Arabidopsis thaliana: one gene and its partner. The protein of the gene in region 1 interacts with the protein of each later gene in a pairwise test. Each region holds a gene or a part of one and is shown on either strand. Other genes may lie near its edges.

Region 1 (4,859 bases):
TTCGCCTGCAAATACATATTAACAAGATGAAAAGTTGCCTGAAAAAGACAACCTCTCTATGCAAATATGATCCATCTAGCAGCATAGAGAGAAAGACTTGGCCCATGAAAAGTATTTACAGGAATAATAATTCCTTGGAACAGATAATTAGATGCGCTTTCAAAGAGAAGGGTTCATTATCTTATGTTCTAACTAAATGGACTTCCACAGGTTATAGTGTCAAAAATTGTGAAGAACCAGAAAAATCTCGGTGTGTAAACGAAGATAATGCATTACTTGGTACCTCATATTCTTTTTCTTCCTGAGTGATCTGAGCTAAAGCTCTATTGAGTGCCTTAATCTTCTCTTTCTCAGCTGTAATCTCGTCCTGCAACTTCATTTTCTGCTTCTCCCACGCCAGTAGTTTCTTTAAGCATTTTTTCTCTTTCTTCGAGGCCTCCATGCATGCCGTGAGCGATTCTGATGCACTTAATTTGGAAGCTTCCATTTCCGCCCGGATTTCTGCACTTTCGTTCTCAAGTGCCCTTACTACCGCATTTGCCTTGTCAACTTGACCGCTAGCTTTTCTAAGAGCATTTTCCATCTCTGATAATTTTTTCAAGGTTGAGTCCTCACGAGTTTGTTTCCCCTTTTTCACCCGCTGAATTTCCTCTCTCTCACTCCTCAACGATTTAAGCTCGGACAGTTCATCGCTGACCTTTTGGGCAGCTTGCATTGCCTTCTTCTGAGCCCAGTCTTTCCTCTCCTTCAATTGCTTTTTGAGATCCTGAACCTGCTGAAGTAGTCCTATTAAAGCATCATCCTTCAGCTCCTCAGGTGCCGAATCAACATTGTCATCAAGGTTCAGATCCCGGAATTTCTCCAGCACTGAACTGAAACATTCTTCACTTCCGAAGACATGTGGCTGCTCACACTTCTCTGAATGTGTAGCAGCAGCCGTGCAAGACAAGCTAGTACCACTAGTTTCAGACTGCATTTGCACCTGCTTCTTTTGCTCCATACTAGCACGATACCCAGCAGCAAAGGCTGCAACATTCTCTCTCAACAAAGACTTCATCGAAGGTGAGAGATTAAATCTCCTTGGACAATCAATCTCTCTCTGCAACGTTAACTCTTCACTGTGCAAAGAAAACCCATTACCAGAAAACTTGGGTCCTTTCCCATTACCAAAACCCCAACCTCCATGGAATCTACACAATGCCGGAGCAATAGCACCACCAACCCCATTTACAGTACTACTAGCACCACCAACCCCTACATTACTACTATCCCCTTTTCCAGAACTCGGTATATCCATAGTACTCGCCCTCCCAACATGAAGCTCACTCATTAGCAAACACCACATTGCATCACCTTTACTCAAATTAGGTTTAACTTGTTGCAACAAATAAACCATACCCGCAAGTGAATACTCCTCCAACTGTCTCAAATCCGTAAAAACCGTCTCTGATTGATCCTCATTGTTCACATTACTACCTTCACCAGTATTACTCTTAAGATAAGCCAACGAATTATGAAGAATATTAGTCATAACATCCATTCCACCATAACAATACCCATTACTAAGAACAGCTCTCAACGCCACATCCTCATCATAACCAGAACCCACAAGCTTCGAAATCGCTTCATTGTATAAATACTCCAAATGTTTCAACAAAATATCCTCTAATTGCTCCTCCGTACAATAACCCCAACCATTATTATCCTCAAAACTGCCACTAGGGTTTGACTCTGGACACGAATCGAGAAGACCCGGATGATAAACAAGATGCTTAAGACTCGATTCAACAATCGATTTCGATAGAGCCGTCCTGTCGAGCAAACAACACGGATCGAATTCGGGTTTCACGGATCTGGTCTTCCGGTTTGGTCTAACATGCTTCTCCCTCACAGTACAACCCATCAGAGTTAAAGCACGTCTATGTATATATGAGAATCTGAAGGAAAAGAAAAATTCCACAGAGATTGAAAGAGTGAAGATCATTGAATCCCCACAAATGAAACACAAAAACCAAAGCAGGATCAGGAGAAATGGGTTTTAATTGATGGCAAAATGATTAATCAATCTTACAGATTATAGATACGAGTTTAGAAGTACTTACTGATCGGCAGTTGTATTTCTCAGCTGAGAAGAATCAAACTTCGGTAGAGAAGAGAGGAGAAGAGAAGCGAAGGGTCATGCAAGAGAAAAAAAACAAGCTTTCTTCAGTTTCTGGTGGTGTGTGTGACTGTTGAACATAATGGGCCTTTAATTGGGCCGAGAGCTAAATTATACTAAACGACGCCGCGTGGCTCGCTGTTTACTTTCGTCTGTGATCTTTGAAACACACGCATCGTCGTCACTTAGCTCCGGAGCTCTCTATCTTTGGTCATCCTCCTATCGGAATCGGCAGCGCAGGTATTGTTTTTTAGGTTTTGAACTTTGTGTTATCTGTTATCAATCCTCGTTTGATCTGAAAGTTCTCATTTTTGTTAAATTAAATTCACCTAGAATCGTTAATCGTAATTTCGTAGGTTTTGTTTAGTGAAATTAGTCATGGGTTTGCTGAAAAGTTTGCTCTTTTTGGGAGTTTTATCGCTTTTGTTTCCGCCATGAAACTCAATTCAATCCACATGCTCCTGATTGTTTCATCATTGAATTAGTAGCCAATGTAGATGCCGTGAATGAGTTCTCATCGATTCTCAATTTTGTTGCTCCTACTGAATCCTTTTGTCGATTGATGTAAGATGTGATCTCTGGTTTTAACTTGTTATATTCAGGGAAGAGGGCAGATTATGAATAATGATACATCAAAAAAGCTGGGAACTTTGGTTTCTGATGATGGACCAGTGAATGTATATGTATGGGACATGGACGAGACTCTTATCTTACTTAGATCTCTGTTAAATGGAACTTATGCTGAGTCTTTTAATGGCTCCAAAGATGTTAAAAGAGGTGTAGAGATTGGGAGGATGTGGGAGAAACACATACTTAAGATCTGTGACGATTTTTTCTTCTACGAGCAAGTAAGTCTTCTCTTAACGATAAGTTCAGAACGGGAATGATGAGATGCCCTCGTAAACTCTGTCACCTACAAAGCATTAGTCTTGTGTTCTTTGCAGGTTGAGGAATGCAATGAGCCATTTCTTGATTCATTGAGACAGTATGATGATGGAAAGGATCTTTCTCGGTATGAGTTCAAACAAGACGACTTTAGTACTCCTACTGATGACTTGAACAAGAGGAAACTTGCGTACAGGCATCGAGCTGTTGCGGAGAGATACGAAAAGGTACTGATATGTTTTTACATGTTTTTTGTTGCTGATGTTATATGACTCAAGTACAAATGTCATCTCTTTATAATTGCAGGGTTTGTGTCCATTCATTGACAGCGAATCGATGAGTGGGTTGGATGAGTTGTATAATGTGACTGATGAATACACAGACCGGTGGCTTTCTTCGGGTAAATGTCGAATTGTCTGCTTCTTCTGGTTATTTTCTTTATCGCGTCCACTGCTTAGTATGACATTGTATTAATTGCAGCAAGGGCTTTCTTGGAGCAGTGTTCATGTGTGGAAGAGTCTAGTGATGGAACAAGTGCAATCGAACAAAGCTCTCAGGATATACATATTCTAGTGACTTCCGGGGCCCTCATACCGAGCCTCGTGAAATGCCTGCTTTTCCGGCTAGATACATTCCTAAGACATGAAAATGGTAAGCTCGGAGACATCTCCTTCAATGGGATATCTTAGCTTCGGATTCACATAGTTGTTGCTACTCTGCGAGCTCCGTCATGCATTTGCATTTCTATGTTAACTACATCATTTAACTCTTTTTGCCTTTCTTCAGTGTACAGTTCAATAGATGTGGGGAAGCTCCAATGTTTCAAATGGATCAAGGAGCGTTTCAACCACCCAAAATTCAGATTCTGTGCGATCGGGGACGGATGGGAAGAGTGTGCAGCCGCACAAGCCTTGCAATGGCCATTCGTTAAGATCGATTTGCAACCGGATAGCTCCCACAGATTCCCTGGCTTAACACCTAAGACTGTAAGCTACTACTTTGCTGCTGTATATGGGAACTCTGATGCTGATTCCAGCAAAGAGTAACTCTCAAAAAGCTTTTTCTTTGTAAAATATGCAAGTAAACCCAACAAAAGCCATGGCTTTTCATATTCAAACCCAACATTGTTCATAGACTTGAGTTAAGTCAGCATTTGGTATTTATAACTAAGCAGTTCTCTTGGCTCGTTCAAATGTGTAATCATCTCTTTCCTATAACATAACATCAATATCAGACTTTTGATGTTAGGTCTCTGAAAGAGTTAAAATTTCAAATAGTCTTCACTATTAATCCTTATAGTTTGTTGGTTGGTGTCTTTGGCTTTAGAAGAAGAGAGACCAAAAACGGAAATTTGGACCAAGGTAAACTTGTTTGAGACACAAATTTTTCTGAGAAACTTGATTGTTTCGATTGGTTCATGTTTTTCAGGAACTTAATCTATAATACAGATCTGAATCTTTTGATGATGAACAGTTGTAATACATCTGCCTCAGTAGAGAAAGCAAAGTAAAGCCAAACGGAAACAACAAACACACAACATATTAAAATTGGTCCCAATCATATCAAGCTACATAGATCCATCCGATAGACATTCTGAACTTAAAACCGAACTAAGTCATAACATAAAACTAAAACTTAAGACAACACTGATAAACAGTCTTTTACTCAGTAGACACCTTCACATTCATCATCACTATTCACTAGTGAGTCTCCTCTTAGGGTTTTGAGACAAAGAGAATCAGCTCGTGTTGTTTGATGAATGAAAACTTGCAAGTGTCTCCAACTGCTAGAGGATATTCTTGAGCCAAACCTTTCC
Region 2 (4,906 bases), 370 kb from region 1:
TACTCACTTCTCTTCTTCTCCATCGCCGCCACATTCTCTTGATCATTCCAGTGAATCGGAGAAGGAAGATGCGAAAAGTAAACCCGAGAGTAGAAGAAACAAGAATCCTGGAAAGGTTGAGGAAACTCCATCTCCGATTGTGGTGGTTCATAATCACAATCGCTCTGTGAAAGAAGTGGTTCCGACGAGAAAGAGTGCGAGAGTTGGTTCTGGGAGAAGTAGTGGCCAACGATCTGGAGCTGTTTCGGCTATTTTGAGAAGGTCTAGGAGAGAAGAGGTGGTAAAGTTTTCAGCTTTAGGGTTTCGGTTGAGTGAGGTTGTGTTGGCTTTGATATCTTTCTCAATTATGGCTGCTGATAAAACTAAAGGTTGGAGTGGTGATTCTTTCGATCGTTACAAGGAGTACAGGTAATTATTTGTTGTGTTTGTGCTTATTTCTTCGCAGATAGTGATGTTTCTTGAATTTAGGTTCAGGGTTTATTTTAGGGTTTAGGGTTTTATCAGTATCACTAGTGTTGGTTTTTTGATAAGAAATTTGGATTACTTTAGTTTTAGTACATGTGAATTGTCTTTAACACTTGCGTGGTCCAAGTCTATGTTTTGGTTGAACTTGGTGAAGTCCTTAAAAGAAGTAAAGTTTGTTCCTTTTGACATTGATTTTGATTTGTTGGATCGTAAGAATTCATTTGCAGTTTCCATTTTGTTGTTTTGGTCAAACATTTGAAGTCAGTTTAGTATGATTTGATTTTTGATTTTGAGACTAAACTGATTTATCTATGTGTCATCTTCTGATATCTGTGACAGGTTTTGCCTGTCTGTGAACGTGGTTGCTTTTGTATATTCTAGTTTTCAAGCATGTGACTTAGCGTACCATCTTGTCAAAGAGAAGCATTTGATCAGCCACCACCTTCGACCTCTGTTTGAGTTCATTATAGATCAGGCAAGTCATTAACACTTATGCTGTACTCTCGATGGTATTCCTTTGTTACTTTCGTTCTTGTATGAAGTATGATCTACGTGGTTGCATCTAGGTGATGAGAAAAACTTGGCTATAGATAATTCCTGATACTTTGACTTGCACCATCTGCTGGTATTTACCCTGTCTCCTGTGAATCAAAGAACAACACTTTGTGGTTAAAGTCCAATATTGTTACTCTTTTTCTTTATGCTTTAGCTTATAGCATATGTGGAAAGGGATTTATCTTATAGGTCGGAAAACATGGTGAAAGTGACTGTTATACTTGTTTGACCAAACTACTCCCTTCATTACATAATTGAAATCTCTTTCGTCCCCTGCAAAACATTTCAAAAGCATGTGTAAAAACAGATGGAATTATGAATAAGAAAGGTTTGTTTTGTTTGTGCAATCAGGTACTTGCATATCTGCTTATGTCTGCCTCAACAGCAGCAGTCACTCGCGTTGATGATTGGGTTTCAAACTGGGGAAAAGACGAGTTCACAGAGATGGCAAGTGCCTCGATTGCTATGTCCTTCCTGGCCTTCCTTGCCTTTGCTTTCAGTTCCCTCATTTCAGGCTATAACCTATTTAACCAAGGCTCTCTCTGATCCTCCCACCTTTTTGTATAGGTCCACACTCCTTGTGTGATGTATAATAAAAATGATCAATATATCTTAGCATTGTAATTATTATACTATTTTTGTAGCCTATATAAAGGTTTCCAAAAACTATGAGGTTAATAAGAGAGGCATATCCTGTTGTCAAAAGGGTCTTTATAGCCAACTAAATAAAGACTCTGACAGAGCAAAAGGCAACAACTTTTCAGCTCTTGAGCCATATGAGTGTCCTCGATTGTAAATGAGACCTCAGACTTATCCATTGTGCATCTTGAACCCTGAAGAAGGAAGAAGAAACCATCTTGCACAAGCCCAATGTTTAAAAATGGAAAAGGGTATTTTAGTCATTTACGTTTTCGACACTCGGACTTCCTAGTTCCTACGCCTGGAGAATATCAATAGCCGCCAAAGGATTGATCGTGCTTTTGCTTCGTATCGTCTCTGGGTTTTTAAATAGAGAGACTCGAGAGACTCTGTTTGACAATAGGGTTTTGAGCTTTCTGAGAGTTTTATATAACTTGACAAAGTTTTGATCTTTCATCACCGATCAATGGTTGGTACGAAGAGAGTTGCTGATTCCATCGACACCAACTCGGATGACACACTCACGAGGAACCGTGAGGTTGAAGTTGAGGCGATGCTCAGTAGGAGAAAGCAACTAAGGACAACAACGACGAGGACAACAACGACGAGGACAACACCATTGAGCTTGTCTTCCTCTGCTTCAAAGATGAACTGGTCTAAAAACGATGAGCTTGTCATTCTCGGGGTTAGTTAGTAAATTCTTTGCAGCTTCTCTATATTCTTCTTTATCCTCTTCTAACTTTTTTTACTCTATTTTGTGTGTGTGTGTAAAAGGGTATTGTGGACTATGAGAATGAAACGAAATTGAGCTATAGATCTGACTGGGATGCCTTGTACCGTTATATCAAAGATTGTGTAGAAGCAAAGTTTTCGAAGATTCAGCTCATCAATAAGGTCAAGAACATGAAGAGAAAGTTTACATACAATCAGGGGAGATCTAACCATGGGGAACAACTTTCTTTTACTAATACTGATGATGATGAAATCTTCAAATTGTCATTGATCATATGGGACAAGAATGAATCAGAGTATGTTTCTAATGAGAATATAGACCAAGCTAAGGTGAGTGTCTTTGTTCTGTTTTTCAACAATCTCTTAGACTACTAATGTGCAATGAATTAATGATCTTGTTTTCTTGATTTGCATAAGGATGTTCCTTCTGGTGAGCCAGAGACTAATGATGTGCCTTGTGAGGAGCAAGACGATAGGGATGTGCCTTGTGAGGAGCAAGAGCGAGCGAATATCGAGATTGATAATGGTGTGAGAGAGAAATTGGACCAAGCCAAGGTGAGTGTGTTAGTTCTGTTTTTTCTACCAATCTCCTTGTTACCATCTTAAAACATGATGTAAAAAATTGTGTTACTAATGATGTGCAATGAATTAATGATCTTGTTTTCTTGTTTTGAATAAGGATGTTCCTTGTGTGGAGCAAGAGAGTGAGGATGTGCCTTGTGTGGAGCAAGAGCGGGTGAGTATAGAGATTGATAATGGTGAGAAAGAGAAATTGGACCAAACCATGGTGAGTGTGTTTGTTCTGTTTCTACCGATCTTCTTATTACCACCTCAAAACATGATTTATTGATCTTGGTTTCTTGTTTTGAGTAAGGATTGTGAGGAGCAAGAGAATACGGATGTGCTTTGTGAGGAGAAAGGCGATAAGGATGTACCTTGTGAGGAGCAAGAGAATAAGGATGTGCCTTGTGAGGAGCAAGAGCGGGTGAGTATCGAGATTGATAATGGTGAGGAAGAGATGAGTAGCGAAGAAGATGGTGTGGATGAGGTAGGTGTTATGGAGGACACACTTGATTCTGGGATATCGTTTCAAGGTTTAGGTAAAAATGGTGTGAAAGACAAGAGTGAAGAAGATGATGTGGTTGAGTTGGGTGTTCTCCAGGAGATATTTAAGGAGGATACATTTTTTCAAAGTTTAGGTAGATATCAACAAAAATTGCTGCTTCAGAATTTGGAAAACGTTGGAGTTGAAAGAAGAAAAGAGCTCATCAACGAATGGAAGGCATTGTTTGTTGATGAGCAGCGATTGTGTGTCAAGAAACTAACTTTCGCCGCAAAGCTTGCAAACTTAGGAGTTTCTCCTTGATTCAATGAAGAAAAATCTCTGCTTTTGGAATGATCTCATTTTTTTTTGGTTGTGTCATATTGATAAGAAAAAACATGATGTATCCACGATCCGTTCTTGTTCTAGAGCCAGGTAACTGAGGTAAGTAACAGTTAGAGCTAACCATAGCAGATTCTCCTTTTTTTAGTGTTGTGTTTGTTTCGACTCTTCCTTTTGGGTTGGGCTTCGATAACGATTGTTCAGGCCCACTAACATTCTTTTCTTATTGTGCGTCTGTCTCTTTCGAGAAAAAGACACAAGCACTTAAAGCCAAGATTCGCATTTTGCCACATGCCACTAATTTCACCTTGTGTTAGATATTATTTTTGTACTACACACTCAACGAAGACCATAGATCAACTCAAAATATTTATTACACAACAATTATCGGAGAAGAGATTGATGTGAAATGTAATGAAGACGAAAAGAAAATAAAAAAAGAAACGACGAATTTGGACGTAATTTTCAGCCAAAACATATGCTTTGGGTCCCACACTTTCACATTTCAACTTTATCATCACACCGAAACACTAAACACCAAAATCCCCGACAAATTTAAAGAAAATTTTTCCATTTTTTTTTTTTACTCTATCTCTGTGAGAGATTCTCTTCAAGCTCAGGCCTTTAGGCTTTAGGTTTCTTTTGGGAGTCTTCTTGAGCTCTGTAATCACTCTCTAGAAGCTTATTTTGCCTCCTAATGTTATTAGGTACGTCTTTGTATCTGTACTTGCTTCTGCATTTTTCGATATTTGTTTCTTTTGATGAGATTTGGGGACTCTTCCTTCAGAAGGATTTGAAGATTTTGACATCTTCCATTAAAAGTTGAATCTTTACTTAAGCTAGTGTTCTTAGCATTCTGTTTATGTTAGCTTCATGAGATCTGGGATCTCGAGGCTGCTTTTTTTTTTTGCTTTGATTTCACATTTAATGGGTTTTGATTACATTTTCATTAGGTGAAGTGAGTTGAACTTGGCTTGTGGTTTTGATGAATTTCTTTCTATTAAAAGTTTTGGTTTCCCTACCAAAAAAATGTCTTCTTTTTGTTAATTAAAGTCTAAAAGTAGCTAATCTCTATCTGTACTTGTGTAGGGTTCATCATTTGAGTCTATAACTATAATGACTTTCACTGTT

Evidence for each region.
Region 2: the proteins of EYA (region 1) and AT2G36340 interact in binary tests that used the Arabidopsis thaliana proteins (3 or more experiments, as listed by UniProt).

What each region holds. Positions count from the first base shown.
Region 1 is NC_003071.7:14,866,304-14,871,162, reverse strand, and holds EYA (eyes absent-like protein), read left to right. Parts: upstream 1-2,281; 5' UTR 2,282-2,398; intron 2,399-2,760; 5' UTR 2,761-2,775; coding exon 2,776-3,006; intron 3,007-3,102; coding exon 3,103-3,270; intron 3,271-3,349; coding exon 3,350-3,443; intron 3,444-3,523; coding exon 3,524-3,694; intron 3,695-3,829; coding exon 3,830-4,089; 3' UTR 4,090-4,331; downstream 4,332-4,859. Other genes in the region: AT2G35330 (RING/U-box superfamily protein), read right to left, coding at 1-5, 284-1,984; AT2G35310 (Transcriptional factor B3 family protein), read right to left, coding at 4,759-4,859. UniProt on the Arabidopsis thaliana protein: Possesses phosphatase activity toward para-nitrophenyl phosphate (pNPP) in vitro. Possesses phosphatase activity toward several phosphotyrosine-containing peptides in vitro, with low peptide substrate specificity.
Region 2 is NC_003071.7:15,233,733-15,238,638, forward strand, and holds AT2G36340 (DNA-binding storekeeper protein-related transcriptional regulator), read left to right. Parts: upstream 1-1,754; 5' UTR 1,755-2,125; coding exon 2,126-2,344; intron 2,345-2,433; coding exon 2,434-2,721; intron 2,722-2,808; coding exon 2,809-2,946; intron 2,947-3,070; coding exon 3,071-3,178; intron 3,179-3,265; coding exon 3,266-3,757; 3' UTR 3,758-4,172; downstream 4,173-4,906. Other genes in the region: AT2G36330 (Uncharacterized protein family (UPF0497)), read left to right, coding at 1-408, 805-940, 1,372-1,566. UniProt on the Arabidopsis thaliana protein: Probable transcription factor. Involved in stress responses. Plays a repressive role in cell expansion by counteracting the positive role of CPR5 in this process, but does not regulate cell proliferation or endoreduplication.